Saccharomyces cerevisiae S288C: one gene and its partners. The gene in region 3 interacts genetically with the main gene of each other region. Each region holds a gene or a part of one and is shown on either strand. Other genes may lie near its edges. The genes, in order: POG1, ADY4, SPO21 and MSO1.

Region 1 (6,346 bases), on a different chromosome or scaffold from region 3:
CTTTGCTCCCCTCTCGAATTCCAACTATTTACAGTCCTTCCTTTATAAAAATTAACTAGCGAGCAAGAAAACATTTGTTTAGTGCTACCCAACTACTTACATTCCTTTAAAAACCACAATATTTAAGTTAACCTGAGCTTTATTTTTAGTAAGTTATTTACCACAATTTTTCTCATACACCTTTACAATCCGTATTGCCATGAATACCAAGGCTTGCTCAGCTTCTGCAGCAGTTCAACCCTTTCCAATACCGCCAATGCGTCCTCAAAACGTTAGTTTAGTCGTGCTCAACCGCTATTTTTGGTTTTATCTTCGTTTCTTTCTCCTGAACGACATTCGTCACGAAAATTGCGGCGGAAAATTTCCTGATGCGGACACTTTTTCCCGATCCGGACATGCCTTTTTTTGGCGTTTCGCGTCAGTCAATAGAAGTTTCAGATCTACATTAGGAAGAACCAGAAAATAGCCATTAATGCTTTCAGCATAGCACAGCATAGCAGCTGTGTATATCTTAAATAAGATGTAGACTGGTTTGCATTTGGAAAGGTTTTGTGTAAGAAAAGCAATACTTGAGGTAAAACAAGAGAAAAAAAAACACTTTACTAACTAATATCCAATCCTTTATTTTTTTGCAGAAATGAAATTCTCAACTGCCGTTACTACGTTGATTAGTTCTGGTGCCATCGTGTCTGCTTTACCACACGTGGATGTTCACCAAGAAGATGCCCACCAACATAAGAGGGCCGTTGCGTACAAATACGTTTACGAAACTGTTGTTGTCGATTCTGATGGCCACACTGTAACTCCTGCTGCTTCAGAAGTCGCTACTGCTGCTACCTCTGCTATCATTACAACATCTGTGTTGGCTCCAACCTCCTCCGCAGCCGCTGCGGATAGCTCCGCTTCCATTGCTGTTTCATCTGCTGCCTTAGCCAAGAATGAGAAAATCTCTGATGCCGCTGCATCTGCCACTGCCTCAACATCTCAAGGGGCATCCTCCTCCTCCTCCTCCTCCTCGGCAACTTCTACCCTAGAAAGCAGCTCTGTTTCTTCATCTAGTGAAGAAGCTGCTCCAACATCTACTGTCGTGTCAACTTCTTCCGCAACCCAATCTAGTGCTTCTTCTGCCACTAAATCTAGTACTTCTTCCACTTCACCATCTACTTCTACTTCTACTTCCACTTCTTCTACTTCCTCTTCCTCTTCCTCCTCCTCCTCCTCTTCTTCTTCTTCTTCTGGCAGTGGTAGTATCTACGGTGATTTGGCCGACTTTTCAGGCCCAAGTGAGAAATTCCAAGACGGCACTATTCCATGTGACAAATTCCCATCTGGTCAAGGTGTCATTTCTATTGACTGGATTGGCGAGGGTGGATGGTCCGGTGTGGAAAACACCGACACTTCCACTGGCGGTTCATGCAAGGAGGGGTCCTACTGTTCCTACTCCTGCCAACCAGGTATGTCTAAGACCCAATGGCCATCCGATCAACCATCTGACGGTAGATCTGTCGGGGGTTTGTTGTGTAAAAATGGTTATTTGTACCGTTCTAACACTGACGCGGATTACTTATGTGAATGGGGTGTCGAGGCTGCCTATGTTGTTTCTAAACTAAGCAAGGGTGTCGCCATTTGCAGAACCGACTACCCGGGCACTGAAAACATGGTTATCCCAACCTATGTTGAAGGGGGTAGCTCTTTGCCATTGACCGTTGTTGACCAAGATACTTACTTTACTTGGGAAGGCAAAAAGACATCTGCTCAATACTACGTTAATAACGCCGGCGTCTCAGTTGAAGATGGGTGTATCTGGGGTACTTCTGGATCTGGTATTGGTAACTGGGCACCATTAAACTTTGGTGCTGGCTCCACTGGTGGAGTGACATACTTATCATTGATTCCTAACCCAAACAACAGCGACGCATTGAACTACAACGTCAAGATAGTTGCTGCTGATGATTCATCCAATGTCATCGGTGAATGTGTTTACGAAAATGGTGAGTTCTCTGGCGGTGCTGACGGGTGTACCGTCTCTGTTACTTCCGGTAAAGCTCATTTCGTCTTATACAATTAAGCTACGTGACTACTACTTTTCCTTTTTTTTTTCTTTTTTCGAACACATCTCACCCCCTATACCTCACACAATCACTATGGTCCCCTTTTCTTTTTACCGATATTTATACTGTCCACCTTTTTCTTTTCGTTAATGGCCTCAATGTTTCTGTACCATTATCCAAGTGAACTTGTTAGACGACCAAATATAGCCAAGATTCATTACGATTATCTTTAACTAGCAAGTAGTATTCTTGGATAGAGAGATTTTCAAAGACGGAACAATTTTAAATAGATTTACATAAGAAAACACATACTGTCCGATACCCATAAGAAATTTAAGAACTCTTTTCATCTTCAGCTTTCCGGCCTCCTTTTACTGTAGCCTGTTCCTAGACAGCTAAAAATAGTACATATGCAGCTCTGCAATAGTCTCAAAGGGGATATTGTGTAGGTTTACGAAATCATCACATTTCCGAATCAGGACATGAAGGCACAACTTTCCGCACGTAGTGTTTTCAGCCCCCAGCGCCTGTCGGCGCGAAGAGGATCTGCGGAGATGAGCTTTGCCCCGCCATTACCCGTAAAATATTACTGTTTTGGGCAATTGTGGATCAAAAAGGGAAAATGCGGATGGTGAAAAAAATTTTTGGAAATTTACTGCTTCAGATGGGGGAACTTTGTAAGTTCTTCCTTTTTTTTCGTAGAGGTTGGAAAATTCAGAGTGCTAAGAAATTAAAAGGTATGCACTGCCTATTCTCATAAAAGCAAAAGTGCACAAAAATAATAAGGTGTGAAGCAATAGTAGAAAAGACACTGGGAACCCAAGGTATCTTATTTTAACAGATAAGTAAAACTAAGATCAAATCGCGTACTGATATCACTTAAGGTTCGCGTATTTTAAAGGCTACGCAGAAGAGGAAATAAATTGCGTGCAATCCCTGCGCTTAACTCATACAAAAAGGCGCAAAACATTTCAAGAGTCCCACGATTAATTGCAGAAATTGAAAAAAAATAAGTAAAGACGAAAATCAAAGTGGATGCCATATTATGAAGCAGGAGCCACATAGACAATCCGAAGAAAAAGAGAAGCCGAAAGGACCAATGGCTGTTGAACGAGAGCAGCATACCTCATTATCTTCTGGTACAACCGTGACAGCTAGTACAGGAGACGAGAGTACCAACAGTAGACCAGTGGAATCATCGCAAACAGAAAAGTCTCTATCGCTTCGAATAAGAATATTAAAACAACTTGGGTTTGACGATATTCAAGAACTAAATGCATGCGACACTGGCCTAGTGGAGCAATTTTTAAACGTACGATTGATAAACGACACAAAAGAACTAGAAAAGATACGCGAGTCAAATCTTGCGAAACTAAACCAGATTATTGATAAATGTATGGAAAGTGATAAAATAAGTGATTCGACATTAAACAAGATTCTTGATATGTCCATGAATAGAGATACAAATAATGATAACAACAATCATCTTACGATACCGTCTCCGATAACGACAAAGAAACGCAAGATAAACGCCTCCGAACTTGCAAGTCCACGAGGCCATAGAAGATATAGATCTGATATACCTACAGTGTCAGAAGTTGAGACAGGGGTCGGATACCCTCAAATACACCAGCAACCAGGCGCATATACTTTACCTATGCCTGCAAATCAGTGGATGAGCAACCCGTATATGCAACCTCCGCAACCACAAGTGCAACAGATAATGCCGCAGTATTTATATCCACCAGGGATGGGACCACAAGCTCAGCTTCCTACAATGAGCTCAAACTCGGAGTCCCAGACACCAGTGATGAGCTCACAGTTTCTTTCCTTGAACCAGCATGGCCTTTACCAACAAAATATAGGTGCTCATCCGGTAATGAGTATGGGCCCACAGGCAAATATATACGGGCAGCAGCACCAGCTGCAACCTGGTCAGGAACGAGACCAGTCAAGAAAAAGTTTTAGTCATAGAAGGTCACAAAGTGCCAATATTTCCATGGCAAATTTTAGGTCGCCCATGCGAAATCCCCAGCCGGCTTCGTCCCAAAGGCCCGTCAATTTTCTCATTCATACACCAAAACATCCTCCTCCCACATGACGTGCAGTAATTTTCATTTTTATCACCTAATTTCTAAAACTATATCCCTTCCTAACCTTCATTCGATGCATCCGTCCACCTTACTTCAGTTCAAAAAAAAATATATATCCATATATATGCTACAGTGTTATTATTACGATTTCTTTGCCTTTACTCCTTATCTCATTTCAATCATGAATAAACAGGATATTGATAATATATGCTGTCATTTTGGATTCAGTCTGCTTAACTGTCTTGTCCACCCCCGGTGTTCTTACCCGTCTGAGCGGTCGTAAGACGGAGGTAATAATTTTTCAGCATCCTGACCTCCCCCCCAAATCTGTGCCTTTCACCACATTTTTCTCGAGAAAATGTGTCTTGGCTCAGATGATGTCGTATGAGCTACTGGACTTTTTTTTGTTGGCCCTGATGAAAATAGTAATGGCGGTTACAGAACAGATAAACGGCGTCACCATCTTTTCCTAGATAAAGAAGCAATCTCTAGATAATGGGGTATATAAATATACATTGTAAAAACGGCAAGTCAGTTGCTGGTCATTTTAGTAGAAACTCTGCTCTCAAACTTGAGTACTGCAACGATGGCAGGAGCAACATCAAGTATAATTCGGGAAAATGATTTTGAGGACGAGCTTGCGGAGAGTATGCAGTCATATAATAGAGAAACTGCAGACAAATTGGCTTTGACTAGGACCGAGAGTGTAAAGCCAGAACCGGAGATAACCGCTCCGCCTCACTCACGCTTTTCCCGTTCTTTCAAGACAGTTTTAATAGCTCAGTGCGCTTTCACTGGGTTTTTCTCCACAATAGCAGGTGCCATCTACTATCCAGTTCTGAGCGTTATAGAAAGAAAATTCGATATTGACGAGGAATTGGTGAATGTCACTGTTGTAGTATATTTTGTATTTCAGGGTCTTGCCCCCACATTCATGGGCGGGTTTGCCGATTCACTGGGCAGGAGACCGGTGGTGCTTGTCGCAATCGTCATTTATTTTGGTGCCTGCATCGGTCTTGCTTGTGCTCAAACGTATGCTCAGATCATTGTGCTAAGATGTCTACAAGCCGCCGGTATTTCACCCGTGATTGCGATTAACAGCGGAATAATGGGAGATGTTACTACTAGAGCCGAGCGCGGCGGGTACGTTGGATATGTTGCTGGATTTCAAGTTCTAGGTTCTGCGTTCGGAGCCCTTATCGGTGCCGGATTATCATCTAGATGGGGATGGAGAGCCATCTTTTGGTTCTTAGCAATTGGATCTGGCATTTGCTTCCTAGCCTCGTTTTTAATTTTGCCAGAAACAAAGAGGAACATATCCGGGAATGGTTCTGTCACCCCAAAATCATACTTAAATAGAGCTCCCATTCTTGTTTTGCCAACAGTAAGAAAATCATTGCATTTGGATAATCCAGATTACGAAACATTGGAACTGCCCACGCAACTAAATCTACTGGCGCCCTTCAAGATTTTGAAAGCTTATGAAATTTGTATACTTATGCTAGTCGCTGGATTACAATTTGCCATGTATACTACGCACCTTACGGCGTTATCCACAGCTTTGAGTAAACAATATCACTTGACTGTTGCAAAGGTAGGATTATGCTACCTTCCCTCCGGTATCTGCACATTATGTAGTATTGTCATTGCTGGAAGATATTTGAATTGGAATTACAGGCGCAGATTAAAATATTACCAAAATTGGTTGGGCAAGAAGAGATCAAAGCTTTTAGAAGAACACGACAACGACCTTAATTTGGTGCAACGTATCATAGAAAATGATCCCAAATACACCTTTAATATCTTCAAGGCGAGGTTGCAACCCGCATTTGTTACCTTGCTTTTAAGCAGTAGCGGATTTTGTGCGTACGGATGGTGCATTACTGTCAAAGCCCCTTTAGCGGCCGTTCTTTGCATGAGTGGATTTGCGTCGCTGTTTTCCAATTGCATTTTGACTTTTTCAACAACTCTAATAGTTGATCTTTTTCCCACGAAGACATCTACGGCTACGGGATGTTTAAACCTTTTCAGATGCATTCTATCTGCTGTGTTTATAGCTGCATTGAGTAAAATGGTAGAAAAAATGAAATTCGGAGGTGTTTTTACATTTTTGGGGGCTTTAACCTCCTCGTCATCGATCCTCTTATTTATTCTCTTGAGAAAAGGTAAAGAATTAGCCTTTAAGAGGAAAAAGCAAGAACT
Region 2 (6,923 bases), on a different chromosome or scaffold from region 3:
GAAATTTAACTGAAAACCTTTGTATATACCGCCCATAACACTGGAATATAATAGTTGAATTAATCCACATTTGCCGTTGGTGAGATCCGTAAAATACAGAGTTTGTGTCTCTATTCTTGTTTCCGTTGGATTTCTTACTGCTTTTAATAAACTATGTGACTTGAACTTTTTGTGATTTGACGTCCTGCAAAACCATTCTAGTTTCGATGTATCCTGAAATTTAGTATAATTAGCATGATCCTTCTCGGATAAAACTTCCTTAACGGGGGCAAATTTCGTCTTCTCCTTTTTGATCGCAACCGCCATTTTTTCTTTGCTCTATGATTTTTATGTTAATTAAACTGTTCGTTGCCCTAAAATTTTGAAAATTTCTCGAATATTTAGAGAGAATCCGTCACTATTTTAGTATCTATCTTGTCTATTTATATATAAAATCTCATTCCCCTGTTATGGTTTTTGCCAAGCCCTATCCCAAAAAACCAAATGATACATGATAAACCTATTTATCCTCTTTAACAGACCTATCGTTTAAAGCTTTTTTATTGCAAACCCTATTCATTATGGCTTTTTGACCTAGGTCTCATTGTGACTTCTATTTTTCACTGTTCAGTAAAAAAAGAAAAGTGATTAAAAAGTATCACTATTTCTGTTAGAAAGCAAGTAGCTATTTTGATTGGTAATTATATACACATATTGAAGGAGGCCGTAGTATTTTCGTTTAAAATATATTACAGTAAGATAATGTCTGCTACATCTTCAAGTGGTGACGTGAAAAAATTTCAAGCTGTACCAAAACCAACGAGCAATGCATCACCACCACCAGCATCGAGTGGGTTTAACGCAAGGACCCTATGGCCGGATTTGATAGAAACACCAGAAAACCAGTGGGTTTTTGAGTGCAAAGATATTATTGAAAAGATAGGCACTAATGGACCGATAGCAGTGGAAATAAAAAAAAATATGGAAAAATGCTTAATGTACTTTTACACACTTAAAAAAAAATTAAATCTTTTTGATCACACCTATACGGCATCATGCATTCTATTTTACAGGTATTGGTTCATATATGGAATACCTACAGCCATAACTGAATGTATTCATATATCACAGGGAATTCTGGTCACCGCTTGCAAAACAATGGAGAATAATAGGCCTATAGAGGCCTATATTAAGGCGACTTGTGAGTTTTTGATGCAAAATATACCGTCTTTAAAAAGTCGAACAAATATTGATAAACTTAAATGGGAATTTAGAGATAAGTTAGTGACGAATGAAAAAAAAATACTATGTTTATTTGGCTTTGACTTAAATATCAGTAATCCAAAAGAATTGATTGAAGAAGTGTTCAGTGGCTATTATAGATTCAACAGGGATCACAATCTGCCAGAAAACTTTAAAAAAGCTTTTCCAAAAATTCTTCAAGAATCAAGAAATTTTATGGTCCAAGCTGTCACCCAGCCAGTTTCTTTATTGTGCGACGGTTATACGTTCATTGTACTATCTCTCATATACTGTGGTTTAGAGTATAAAAAGCTTGTAGACAAAGATTTCAGATATCCGAAAAACTTCTTCAAGGATAGATTCCCTATCGAAGTAACGCCGGAAAATTTTGCCAATATCTTTACCGATTACAAGTTACTGGAAGAGAATTTTTTCAACTTAAAAAGTAATAAAGGTGCTAAATTACAAATTGATTCAAGCATGATTGATTCGGTGATTGACGAAAGTGGCGATGTGGAAAATGAAGTTTCAGAAATCTCTGATCCGTTTAACTACGAGTTGATTAAATCCGGTGAGGTGAAGGAAGAGTTTTTGAATCATATTGAAACAAGGGTTAAAGATTTACTAGATAAGGCTAAACAAGAAAGTATGAAGAGAAAGGCTAAAGATCCTATAAGAACCCCAGATGCCAAAAAACCTAAAATATAAAAATAGAGTACAAGTTATGTTTAATTGGAGGGATCAGTAAAGGTTTGATATATACGTGACAAAATGTCCGGCAAGTTCCCTATGTTATCCTGATAGCAATATTTCCAATACTCAATCCAATGATCATCTGTTTCTGGATCTTTAGGTGAGTCAAAGCGCAGTTTCTGCTTCAATTTTGTTTTCATCTTGTCTATTATTATTCTGGGATGTCTGAATTGGTAAGTTCGGGGATGATAATCGTCCAGAGATTCTGAACAGTCATTATCTTCGGATATTTTTTCAGCAACAAGTAATTTCCCCTCCATAGCAGTCAACAGTACCTTAGGTAGTTGGTAGTCAGTTACTTCATCAGGATTGTCACAAGCATCAATAATATTTTCGATGATACATAAGCATTCTATGGTCAATTTATCCATTTCAGATGATGCTTCGAATGTGTATTCATTATCTTGCATATAGTATAGTTTTAATACATAAAAAAACTGGATAACTTTAAATTGAACACCTGATGAAAGTAATAAGCCTTCCAGAATTTTATTCAAGCAGCATATAATCTGAGGGTCATTTTTAAGTTTGAAAGTTATTGACAGAATATTTTTTTGAATTGTTTCATTCATGTGGTTACTATCTACTAATAGTCCGATTCTGGGACCGAACACATCACATTCACACTCCCAAATTTTTCCTCTCAGAATGGCTAACATTTCTTCGATTTCTGCACAATACTGAAAAAACTGACTAAAAACAAAATTTTCATTGACCTTTGAAAATTTAAGCGTTATCTTATCCATCGCATCGAAAGCGACGCAGTATAACGCCTCAATAACATCTACCTCGTCGAGTGACCAGTGCCATTGAAGTGACTTGGTCTCCTCATTTAAATCGAAGCCATGGGAATAATTAGGGTTTTGTCTTTTGATAAAATTTTTTAGATTATTGCCTACCAATGCTTCATTTTCTTTCAAATCAATTAGAAAACAGTGGCAACACAACATGGATATAAATAGTTCGCAAAGTTCATAAAAAGCTCCAATTTGCTCGTCTGCGATACTTGCAAATAGTCTTGTCCTTTTTGAGTACGCAATGAATTGTAAGCACCAGCGAAAAGATTGAAATGCGAGGTTATAATTTTTATCTACATGACCAAATACTCCTTGAAATAATTTTATATATAGTACCAGTTTTAATTTATTCATTGTCTCTGGATCGGCTTTATCTTTCTTCATTATCTTGATGATATGTTTTGGACCCATCGCAAGATTAAAGTTTAAAATTTTGGCCAGCGCTTCTTTCAGAAGGTTATTGGTTTGAATCCTTAATGGTGAACCTTTTTTCATGATCGAAAGATTATAAAAAACTACATGGTACGGAATATAAAGAGCCAAAAAGTCCCTTATCAAATCACCATTATATGCTTGTAAATTTAGGATAGTCTTCACAGCTTTTTTAAATTCTTTTCTTAAACTTTTTTTAAAAGTTTGATAGTCGACGTCTTTATTCATTATACGTGAGCCGACAATTTGTGACTATGATCAATAAATAGGGCATATATGTACAATTTTGTTTGTATTTCCTCCTGTTGGAGATGAGTAGTAACATAATCATGGGTAAATCGTCTTCTCTGTGACAGCGCAAACCTTTACGCCCAATAAAAATTTGACAGAAAAATTCTCTATAGTGCCGGGGCACTTCATTCAAATTTAGTAAATAGAACTTTTGTGGCAATGGACAGGTTCAGCTACTGCATTTCATATGCGAATTCGCTGCTATACCAGTTTTGTGGCCCCAAAATCACCCGGCAGACAGGGTCTGGTAACACGTCATAATTCTTTCCCTACTTACGAACGTAAAGGAAGCTTTGCCAACTTTTAGAGAAATGGCTACATTAATTATGAACTGGAGTGAAACAACTGTGCTAAAATGATACGATCTAGTAATTTATAGGAAAAAGTAAAGATGGCAAAAAACAAAAAATAATGAGAGCTAAGGGATTCGAACCCTTGCATCCGAAGATATCAGAGATTTTAGAGGTTAAACCCACCTAAATCTGACGCCTTAAACCACTCGGCCAAACTCCCATTGTATGTTGAAAACGATGGATTATACAAGCCATTGGGTTAGCCATTTATTTCTAAAGTCTTTTTCTTGGCTGATTACTTATTAATGAGAAATTGGTAAAGTTTGACATAATTGTTGGGATTCCATTGTTGATTAAGGCTATAATATTATGTATAAGAATAAACTAGAAGTTCTCCTCGAGGATATAGAAACTCTCAAATGGAATCGATATTTCTACACAATAATATTACGATTATTTCTCCTTCCGTTTTATATTTTTCATTATCTTATTACATTATCAATCCTTCCATTTCAGCTTCCTTTAACTTCGGTTGCATCTTCTCATACCTTATGTCATCATCTAACTACCCGTATATGATAATATACGCGTAGTAAGACTACTAGTTAATGACGATAGTTGATTTTTATTCCAACAATTAAGTTAGCAAATGTGGGAAAGCATAAATTATTTGGGAAATGCATATATCTCCGCGATTTCCCTAGCTTAGGAGCTCTTTGGGATCGATATCATTTTTGTTGGAATATGTTGGAATAGAAATCAACTATCATCTACTAACTAGTATTTACATTACTAGTATATTATCATATACGGTGTTAGAAGATGACGCAAATGATGAGAAATAGTCATCTAAATTAGTGGAAGCTGAAACGCAAGGATTGATAATGTAATAGGATCAATGAATATAAACATATAAAATGATGATAATAATATTTATAGAATTGTGTAGAATTGCAGATTCCCTTTTATGGATTCCTAAATCCTTGAGGAGAACTTCTAGTATATTCTGTATACCTAATATTATAGCCTTTATCAACAATGGAATCCCAACAATTATCTCAACATTCACATATTTCTCATGGTAGCGCCTGTGCTTCGGTTACTTCTAAGGAAGTCCACACAAATCAAGATCCGTTAGACGTTTCAGCTTCCAAAACAGAAGAATGTGAGAAGGCTTCCACTAAGGCTAACTCTCAACAGACAACAACACCTGCTTCATCAGCTGTTCCAGAGAACCCCCATCATGCCTCTCCTCAACCTGCTTCAGTACCACCTCCACAGAATGGGCCGTACCCACAGCAGTGCATGATGACCCAAAACCAAGCCAATCCATCTGGTTGGTCATTTTACGGACACCCATCTATGATTCCGTATACACCTTATCAAATGTCGCCTATGTACTTTCCACCTGGGCCACAATCACAGTTTCCGCAGTATCCATCATCAGTTGGAACGCCTCTGAGCACTCCATCACCTGAGTCAGGTAATACATTTACTGATTCATCCTCAGCGGACTCTGATATGACATCCACTAAAAAATATGTCAGACCACCACCAATGTTAACCTCACCTAATGACTTTCCAAATTGGGTTAAAACATACATCAAATTTTTACAAAACTCGAATCTCGGTGGTATTATTCCGACAGTAAACGGAAAACCCGTACGTCAGATCACTGATGATGAACTCACCTTCTTGTATAACACTTTTCAAATATTTGCTCCCTCTCAATTCCTACCTACCTGGGTCAAAGACATCCTATCCGTTGATTATACGGATATCATGAAAATTCTTTCCAAAAGTATTGAAAAAATGCAATCTGATACCCAAGAGGCAAACGACATTGTGACCCTGGCAAATTTGCAATATAATGGCAGTACACCTGCAGATGCATTTGAAACAAAAGTCACAAACATTATCGACAGACTGAACAATAATGGCATTCATATCAATAACAAGGTCGCATGCCAATTAATTATGAGAGGTCTATCTGGCGAATATAAATTTTTACGCTACACACGTCATCGACATCTAAATATGACAGTCGCTGAACTGTTCTTAGATATCCATGCTATTTATGAAGAACAACAGGGATCGAGAAACAGCAAACCTAATTACAGGAGAAATCTGAGTGATGAGAAGAATGATTCTCGCAGCTATACGAATACAACCAAACCCAAAGTTATAGCTCGGAATCCTCAAAAAACAAATAATTCGAAATCGAAAACAGCCAGGGCTCACAATGTATCCACATCTAATAACTCTCCCAGCACGGACAACGATTCCATCAGTAAATCAACTACTGAACCGATTCAATTGAACAATAAGCACGACCTTCACCTTAGGCCAGGAACTTACTGAATCTACGGTAAATCACACTAATCATTCTGATGATGAACTCCCTGGACACCTCCTTCTCGATTCAGGAGCATCACGAACCCTTATAAGATCTGCTCATCACATACACTCAGCATCATCTAATCCTGACATAAACGTAGTTGATGCTCAAAAAAGAAATATACCAATTAACGCTATTGGTGACCTACAATTTCACTTCCAGGACAACACCAAAACATCAATAAAGGTATTGCACACTCCTAACATAGCCTATGACTTACTCAGTTTGAATGAATTGGCTGCAGTAGATATCACAGCATGCTTTACCAAAAACGTCTTAGAACGATCTGACGGCACTGTACTTGCACCTATCGTACAATATGGAGACTTTTACTGGGTATCTAAAAGGTACTTGCTTCCATCAAATATCTCCGTACCCACCATCAATAATGTCCATACAAGTGAAAGTACACGCAAATATCCTTATCCTTTCATTCATCGAATGCTTGCGCATGCCAATGCACAGACAATTCGATACTCACTTAAAAATAACACCATCACGTATTTTAACGAATCAGATGTCGACTGGTCTAGTGCTATTGACTATCAATGTCCTGATTGTTTAATCGGCAAAAGCACCAAACACAGACATATCAAAGGTTCACGACTAAAATACCAAAATTCATACGAACCCTTTCAATACCTACATACTGACATATTTGGTCCAGTTCACAACCTACCAAAAAGTGCACCATCCTATTTCATCTCATTTACTGATGAGACAACAAAATTCCGTTGG
Region 3 (4,640 bases):
CAGAGTGGCAAGAACTTGTAGCGAAACAGTAACATATTTAGTTGGTTCATGGAAGTTCTTTGCCGTTACAGGGTCCAATTGGCAGTTCTTTAAAACAGATTGAGTATGATAGACTGAATCTGCCACAAATATCGCATCTGAACCTATAACTGTGTAATAGTCGCCTTTATCCACTAATCTAATGGTTTTTAATGGTTTCTTCGGCAACCCTGTATACTTCTTATAGAAGTTTCTCTCCTCTGATACATCAGAGAATTTTAGCTCTGGCCTAGTGGAGGACATACTTTTAATCTGAGGATTTTGATGTTAGGTCAGCAGATAAAGAGATTTTTTACAGTTGATATTGGAGTAGAGTGTCAACATTTAAAGAGCCTCTTTTTATTTTCAGTATATTATAAAAACGCCTAAAAAAAAAATGACAAGTTTTCGCGTTTTCTATTTTTTCATATATGTATATATAGAATATTAAGGATTATAAAAGAATGTGTAGCTGTTGAGGTTCACTTGATGGAGTGCGGAACTTGTCTTTGGCTTTGTTTATACGGAGTGCTGGAGTTCTGATTGGATTTTTGGTCAGTTTGCCTACTTTTCTTGTAATAATTAATAAAGCACTTGTAAATGACGTCTATAATTTTCTTCGTCACAAGTTCTTGATAGAAATAAAGTAACTTTTCCTCAAACTCTACACATTTTAATTCTAATCTTTTCGAGTACTCCGCTGGAGGCTCGTCAGAAGAAGACACATGGTTCGAAAGTGAATTATTCATGTTGAGTAGCTCCTTAATTAAGCTTTCAGTTTCAATAATAGTATCACTTGGCAGTAAGAACCGATAACATGTCAGAATATTAGATACAAGGAGTAGAGAATATGAACCATGACATTCAATCAACAGTATTTCCTTTTTCAACAAATTTCTCTCATTTCTCAAATCTAAAACTTTTTTCCTTTCATTTTTGAACGAATTTTGTAAATTCTTATTGGTATTTGATATATTTTCGATGTTTTTTTTGTATTTCAAACATATTTCTTTTAATTCATTGCATTCAAAAGTTAAGTTTTCTCCCAGGGCCTCTCTTTTTTTCGTAGAGGTATTCAATTCAGTGATGCTATCAGCTAATTTTGCATATTTTTCTTTAAATAAAGAGAACTTGAAGTTGGTAGCATTAACCTCATTTTGTAGTTCATTGACACTTTTCTTCAAAAACTCGTTTTGATCAATGATTAATTGCTGTTCTCTATTGACCCTATCTAAGGTTTCCCTAGTATATTTGTATTTTTTTAGTAATTCCTCATCGTGATTGTATGACTCATTGTCTAGTTCTTTGAAAGCCTCTTTTATTTTCTTATTTTCCAGAGAGACCTCCTTGTATTTAGTTTTGTAGGCCTTGTTTGTTGTTTCTAACTTCAAAATTTTGTCATTTTGACTTTTTAATTGCGCTTCTTTTTCTTTAAGTTTAGAGGCATAGTCTGTTATCTTTGTTCTTCTAGCGCTGGAATTCTTCTTCACTAGTTGATACATTTCTTGCATTAATTGAAAAACAGGAATATCACTGAAATCATCGTATTTATAACCAATTTCTTTAAAAATTGCTTTTATTACGTGTGAAACTTCACCATTTGGATCGAAATGCAAGTCTTCGTTTACAAATGGTGATGTCATCTGTTGCGAGTCGTATTGCTTTTGCATATCGCTCATTATAGCGGTTGCTTGCGTATCGACATTGTATTGGCTCATAATCGATGCGGTGTTAATGTTGGAGCTCCCTTTACTTTGAGGAATTTCTTTGTTATGCCTAAAGTGATTGTTATTCTGCAATAAAATATCATTTTCATTTCCTTTTATAGAGTTATAAGAAGATGATGATGAAGAAGAAGAGCACGTTGTCTGAGATGTTGTAGAAGAACGTGCTAACATGGCAACATTATTTTTTGATCTCTGACTTCCAGTTGAATCTAATTTTAATTCTTTCACACTATTCGAACGACTCAAGCCTGCAGATGGAAGGCTGTTACCACAGATAGAAGAGTAATCATTTTTATAACTGTTGCCATCGTCACTACTTTTCATTGAAACGAGGCTCTGGTTACTTTTCATGGAACCTATACTCCGGCTGCTTTTGGAAGCTGGAGATTTGGAAAGTTTAAAAAACTCTTTCATCCACTTTCTCTTCGAAATTTTACTGTTTTCCAGACCACTTGTGTCGCCGTCCTTATGTGTATCGGTATCTTGTTCATGATTTGAGATACAACTAGAGTCTTCAGAACTACGCGAGGTAACTGTCATTGTTGAAGTCCCTTCCATATTTGATGCCTTTAAAATATTATCCATACTGGTAGCAGAAAGCTTTAATAGATCTTTAATAGATCTTTAATATGCCTTTAGTAATCACGGGTTTTTTCCTATTTAAATGAAATTTTATAATACATTTAATTTTTCTTTTTGTGACATTAAAAAAATGTCAATGACAGAGAGAAAAAAAAAAAAAGTTTGTGAGGTCAAAAATATGTTAAATAAATATTAGATAGAACATGTTAATTCAGTATAAATTTTTTATTTCTTTTGTAAATGAAAAACTGGGAAAATATGACGAAATCCATGAATAAAGTACCTATGCTTCCAACCAACCAGGAAGCATTCATAATTAGATACTTCCAGTCTAAAGAAATGACAATCACAGAGAAAATAAATGTGGTATTACCCAAACAGGCGAACAAAAAGAATAGGAAACTGATACCTTCACAAGACTTTCTCTTAAAATTCAGTAATATCTGAGGAATTCTTGAACCCAGATACAAAAGGGCACTTAAGTAACCGAATATCTGAGCCATCCAATTGATCTGCAGTTCGGGAACAGGCAGTGATGGATCCTCCACGGGAGGAGGTTGCGTGTAGTTTACGCAGTAGGTTACATACCACGAGATGAAACCTACAAAAACTACACCACTAACAATAAATATGTCTTTTATCAAATTTCTTGAATTGACTTCACGGAGATTATCATCACCAGCGTTTCCGTCGGATGAAGGAGCAGCCATTTCTTCATCAATACGATTTGGCTGACCTTGGGAATTCAAAAGCGGTTGTTGTTCATTGAACACATCGTGCAGAACGTTTTCGTTTATTGGATTGGCAGGGGAGAGATGAATAGGGTCTACTGCTGGTTTTTCCTCATTATCGTACCATAGACATTGACCTAGTAAAATGATATCTGCCACCGTATAGTAAGCAGCAAGAATGATCATGGTAGACAAAAGATGTTGCATAACGGCACCCATAAGGTTAAAGACATCGCCGGCCAACCAAAGTACCACGAACAATAAAGACAGCCCATCAGACGACTTCCGGTAAAAGTTCTCGTAAATTTGAGGGACAAACACAATGATCCAGCAGGAGATGGAGATGGACCCAGATATCCCACTTAGAGTGGATCTATTCAATTCTAGCGGCACAAGTTGCATAATTGAGGTCGTCGAGCGATGTGGTAGCTTTTTTTTTGTATGGCATTCTTTCGTTAGCAGTACATATCATCGCGAAGACGATTAAAGTACGTAGTGAATAAAAAGACGATATGTGAAAAATTGCAATCCGGGTAAAAATAAAAGAGTCATTAAGAGCAAAAATGACCATATTAGAGAATTTACAGGTAAAACACATACAACATCAAAGCAAAATAAGCAAAGAGAAATAAGAAGTATCCTCCCACGGCCCTACATTAGATTTGGACCTCTCGGACACTAAGATTGGTGTTGTTAATATTAAAAAGGGAATGCCATTTAGATTTCGAGTGGAGCCAGTTTCGGCGGCTAATGTCCAAGTACTATGATAAGCATAAACACCCTTTGAAGAACTACTACCAGTTGCGCATGTTTAACCCGTATCTCTGACATCAATATACACCTATTGTAGCTACGGAGACTATTACTATTTTGCTATTCAGTTACTAATAATACTACAGTGATGGCTGCCTATGTGTCCTTTGGAGCTGGCGAAGAGCTTGCGGATTTTGCTTCCGCATCCAGCTTTCTGGGTGGTAAAACGCTTTCAAAGGCATTTTTCCAGTTATGGTCATCAAAGTATTTCAGCATGAGTTGCACGACGTGCGTTGTCGTCAACACTCTTCTGCCTTCGAGATTGATGTACTCGTCAATGGGCAATCTTCGCGTAGGAATGCCCATCTTTTGGGCCTTCTTCAGACACAATTCTTTATAACGATTCTTGTCTACAATGCCGCCAACAATGTATCGCATCCCGGGTTCCAGCTTCTCCAGCTTTTCCTCTGTATCGGCCGTTAAATACACTATTTTGTCCTTACTTATATGCTCATCTCCAAACATGATTTTGTCGTCTGGTAGGAATTTAAAATGGTTCCAGTTTTCATAATTGGTATTTTTCAGAGTAGTTTCAAACCTTTGCTTTAGTCTTTTGTCGAATGGGGCCACCTTTATTTCTGCAAAATGGTTCGCCCTTCTATTCGCGGAGTATGCCCTGGTGACCTGGTTAGACAAGCTTACTATTTCCTTGTCGTTCATTAACTCATCAAAAGAACAGTCAAGTATGATCTCTATCCCAGAATCAGTCTGATTCACATTGATACGAGGCTCTCTAATCAATTCCTGCGGGACCTCTTCTCCCCTGTCA
Region 4 (4,252 bases), on a different chromosome or scaffold from region 3:
AAAGCCTGGCAGCCCATCTTGTCGCCACAGAGCGTACTGCCGTTGCTTATTTTGATGGCATGCGTCTTCGCACCCATTGGTATAGGGCTGGTGGTCAGCACGATAAGTGTCCAAAGACTAGTGGTAAACTACACAGAATGTGATGCATTGGCACCGGCGAAGCATTTTGAAACGATTCCCTCCGAGTACGTGGACTACCACTTCAGTAAGAAAGTCGCAGTCCAACCTCAATGGATGGTACTTACGGATCCTGAATTAGGCAATCAAACTTGTCGAATACAGTTCGAAGTTCCAAATCATATCAAGAAATCTACTTATGTTTATTACCGCCTAACAAATTTCAATCAAAACTATAGAGAATATGTGCAATCTCTTGACCTAGACCAATTAAAAGGAAAAGCATTGATCGGAAATGATCTGGATCCAAACTGTGACCCTTTAAGGACGGTAGAAAATAAGACCATATTCCCCTGTGGATTGATAGCAAATTCGATGTTCAATGATACATTCGGCACAACACTTACTGGTGTAAACGATACTGCAGATTATTTGCTTACCACAAAAGGTATTGCGTGGGACACCGACAGCCACAGATATGGAAAGACCGAATACAATGCATCCGATATCGTACCGCCCCCAAATTGGGCCAAGTTATTTCCCAATGGCTACACTGACGATAACATTCCAGACCTACAAAACTGGGAACAGTTCAAAATATGGATGAGAACTGCTGCATTGCCCAACTTCTATAAGCTAGCAATGAAAAATGAGACCAATGGGTTAGGTAAGGGTATTTACATTGCTGATATAGAACTCAACTACCCAGTAAGATCTTTCTATGGAACAAAATCTTTTGTATTAACCACAAACAGTATTATCGGTGCTGGAAACGAGGCATTAGGGATTGTTTATTTGATTGTTGCCGGGATTGCAACTCTTTTCGCCATACTATTCCTGATAAAAGTCATCTTCAAACCAAGACCTATGCATGATCATAGCTACCTAAATTTTGAGAACAGCGATACCCCATTCGATGAGAGTAGTGTCGTTAGTATTCCATTGAGAGAAATTTTATGATTGATTATCATTTACTATAAAATCCCTGCGTTTGATTCGGTCTCTAGGGAAGCGTTGTAATTTCATGTATATTCAAAATAAGGACGAGGTTATATACCATACTATATTATCTCCTTGCATTCTGTATCAAACACTTTATTCAGTACATATACGATACCTATATATTCATTAAATGTTCTTTTCGCTTTATTTCAGCAAGGTATAGTGCTATTTAAAATCCATAATCGTTATTGCGTCTCTTTAGTCTGTCCTTCATTGCCATTACTCCACTACTTGCGTCTGGTGGCGGCGTTGGCGTGCTGGAGGTGTTGAAACTGTTCGACGTTTTACTTCGACCGAGACTTGCCCTGAATTCTTGGCCTGCTGAAGGTCTAGTCGGCCGTGATGAAGCTCTTCTCGGTGTCGCGCTAGAGGAGCTTGTATGATTATTGTATATATCTTGAAACGATTTACTCGCAGGCGTGTACTCCGGTGTGTTCCCGTTTGAAGAAGGTGTACCCATAGGATCTTCTGAAGAAGCCTTCCTTCTGTTAGAAAAGGATGGCGAGAAATGACGCGAGTTTTGCTTCTTCATATCATGCTTCACTTGAGTATCTAATATTTTACGTTCGTTCGGTAAATCTTCCTTCTCCCCCAACCATCCTGGGAACCCCTGGAAAGGATGCTGATTTTCATAGAATTTCACAAGCCCTTTATGGACCAATGTAGTATTTACAGTATCACCATCTTTTTCTGCTTTAATGGATAAATGTGCCAACGATGTAGATAACGATTTGGTTGACGACTTAAACTTGTTCCAAAATCGCCCGGATCCTTCTTGGGAATGCGATACTTGACTCATCATATGCGTGAAATCTTAGTTATACTGGTAGTTGGTATTAGGGCCTAGCGTCTAATAGTTAGTTGGCGTTTTATTTTTTTGCACCTTTCCTAATAGTATTAATCTCTAAAAGTGAAAAACTCCTAAGAGTCTTTACGAGCTCATTTAATACGTTCTGATCAGAAGCAAGACTATAAAATGCAATAGCCAATACTTTTTAGACTAAAGGTAGACGACTTACTAGCGGTTCAAGCTTCAGGAACTACACTCTCAATTACGTTCTAGTCCATTTTGTCCCTCTTTCCGGTTTTTTTTTTTTTACGTTTCCTTATGAAAGTATAAGTAATACTAAAGAAAGATTTATAAAGTGCCGTTACTGTTACGTATGATAAACCTTTTGATACATTTCTTCTTATTTAAGCCACTGTCTTTTCCTTTAGATAGATGCCGTACTTGTCCTTTAGTTCTTTCATGATTGGATCATTAATCTCTGGTGAGTATGGCGCTAGTAAGCCTGGTCCCTTGATTGTACCATCTAAGACGAATTTCGTTGCAATGGCAACTGGATAACCAACAGTAGCGGCCATAGAACTGTAACCACCAACCTTACCATAGTCAACTAAAGTGGATGTTCTTGTTTCGGTAGTTCCATCAGCCCATTCAATACCGAATTTGTGTTGTAGTACAACCATATCTCTTTCATTGTCTTCATATTGCATTAGTTCTTCTAAACGTGCACATAGAGTGTCTAAAGCATTACCTCTTGGTGTGATCTTTGCGTCAGAGAACAAGCCTAACCAAGCAAACCCGGAAAGGATTCTTTCTCTATCTTCATCATCTTTCCAAGTAGCCTTTGAGTCAATGGAAGCAATCAAATCTTCTTTAGAAGTAGACTTGGCACCTAAATATTGTTTTAGTGCTTCGTTCCAGGCAATTGGCTTGCTGAAGATTTCGTTAGCATCATCCTTCAACATACCCATGTCAACTAAAGCCTTAACAAATTCTGGGAAACCTTGATATCTCAAAGTACCTCTAATGACCGTTTCGGCTTCTGGAATATGATAAAGATCCTTGAAAAGGGTAGAGTCTCTATTTGGGTAGCAAACGAATGCATAACCTGGGTAGATGAAGTAAGGCTTAGCAGTGGCCATTAAGTCTTCGGAAGAAACAGTTTCAATCTTTCCGTCTTTCCAGTATTTAGCAGAGTTTCTTAAAGCCAGTAGCACACCTCTGGAGGACCATGAAAATTTGTATCCTAATGGATTATCAGAGTCTTCAGGAGCTGGTAAACCACCACAGTATGACAAGAATGACTTTAGCTTACCACCAGCTCTGTGAACTTCATCAATAGTCTTGACCGCATACAAGTGGTCGATACCTGGATCCAACCCAATTTCGTTCATAACTGTAATACCTGCCTTTACGATTTCTGGTTCCAATTCTCTTAAGGCAGGTGAGATGTAAGAGGAAGTGACGACATCGGTCTTTGTTCTGATGGCGCTCTTTACCACATTTGGATGGAAGGTGTATGGAATCAAAGAGATGACAACATCGTTATCAGCCAGAACTTTGTCTAAGGCACTGTCATCGGTAACATCCAATGAAATAGCCTTGGATCCAGAGGGCTTGGCCAATGCTTGCGCATTGGCTAATGTTCTACATGCGACAGTGACATTGATGTCATCATTAGCAGCCAATGTGTCGATAACAGGTTGTGCAACAAAACCAGATCCTAGCAACAAAACGTTCTTTCCCATATTAAAATATATAATACGTTAATATAACTCAATTGTCCTGATAAGTTTTCCCTACTGCCTAAGGATCCTTCCCATGTAATTTTACCAGGACCCTACGGTTTATATACCATTAAGCCAAATTCTGTGCTACTTTCTATCATCTATTGCTGATAATTCCATTGGAAATTCTCAATACCCTTTATTGACATCTTTATTTTTCACTACAAAGCGAATTTTTCCAACGGAATTTCGATTCCAGAGTATGAGTAATTCTTTTCACTACTAAACGCATTGCTTCGTGGTCAGTAGTAACCGCAATCACACTCTTCACTTCTGTTGTGGTGAATATCAAAAGAAACAAGAGATCATCCACAATTTCCTCAGCTTGACTTGTCTGCAGTTGCGATTAAAATTTGACTTTTGCTCCACCGCTCTCTACAGGTATTATATTTGGAAATCATCAAATGATGGGAATCCCCTACGTGGCACTTAGATACGATACATAAGACTCTTGCATATGTAGCTACCAACGTGGGAAAACCTTTCAAGTAACAGTTTGTTTGCTCTTAGCAACTTCTAGCCCTAATGAAAAAAAATGAAAAATAATTGCCAGCTTTTC

The links.
Region 1: mutations in SPO21 (region 3) and POG1 together harm fitness more than expected from each alone (negative genetic interaction), as found in Saccharomyces cerevisiae (one large-scale study listed by BioGRID).
Region 2: mutations in SPO21 (region 3) and ADY4 together harm fitness more than expected from each alone (negative genetic interaction), as found in Saccharomyces cerevisiae (one large-scale study listed by BioGRID).
Region 4: mutations in SPO21 (region 3) and MSO1 together harm fitness more than expected from each alone (negative genetic interaction), as found in Saccharomyces cerevisiae (one large-scale study listed by BioGRID).

Annotation. Positions count from the first base shown.
Region 1 is NC_001141.2:127,514-133,859, forward strand, and holds POG1 (Pog1p), read left to right. Parts: upstream 1-3,096; coding exon 3,097-4,152; downstream 4,153-6,346. Other genes in the region: putative glucosidase SIM1, read left to right, coding at 638-2,068; QDR2 (cation transporter), read left to right, coding at 4,731-6,346. UniProt on the Saccharomyces cerevisiae protein: Transcriptional activator which promotes cell cycle recovery with CLN2, after pheromone induced G1 arrest, probably inhibiting the ability of STE20 to activate the pheromone response pathway.
Region 2 is NC_001144.5:588,613-595,535, forward strand, and holds ADY4 (Ady4p), read right to left. Parts: upstream 3,432-6,923; coding exon 1,950-3,431; downstream 1-1,949. Other genes in the region: YLR225C (uncharacterized protein), read right to left, coding at 1-306; BUR2 (Bur2p), read left to right, coding at 742-1,929; YLR227W-A (gag protein), read left to right, coding at 4,826-6,148. UniProt on the Saccharomyces cerevisiae protein: Involved in the pathway that organizes the shaping and sizing of the prospore membrane (PSM) during sporulation. May be required to stabilize the outer plaque of the spindle pole body (SPB).
Region 3 is NC_001147.6:143,024-147,663, reverse strand, and holds SPO21 (Spo21p), read right to left. Parts: upstream 2,331-4,640; coding exon 501-2,330; downstream 1-500. Other genes in the region: mismatch repair ATPase MSH2, read right to left, coding at 1-282; YPQ1 (cationic amino acid transporter), read right to left, coding at 2,534-3,460; TRM10 (tRNA (guanine(9)-N(1))-methyltransferase), read right to left, coding at 3,968-4,640. UniProt on the Saccharomyces cerevisiae protein: Involved in the pathway that organizes the shaping and sizing of the prospore membrane (PSM) during sporulation.
Region 4 is NC_001146.8:711,735-715,986, forward strand, and holds MSO1 (Mso1p), read right to left. Parts: upstream 1,922-4,252; coding exon 1,289-1,921; downstream 1-1,288. Other genes in the region: YNR048W (putative aminophospholipid translocase regulatory protein), read left to right, coding at 1-1,077; LYS9 (saccharopine dehydrogenase (NADP+, L-glutamate-forming)), read right to left, coding at 2,314-3,654. UniProt on the Saccharomyces cerevisiae protein: Involved in secretion. Component of the secretory vesicle docking complex.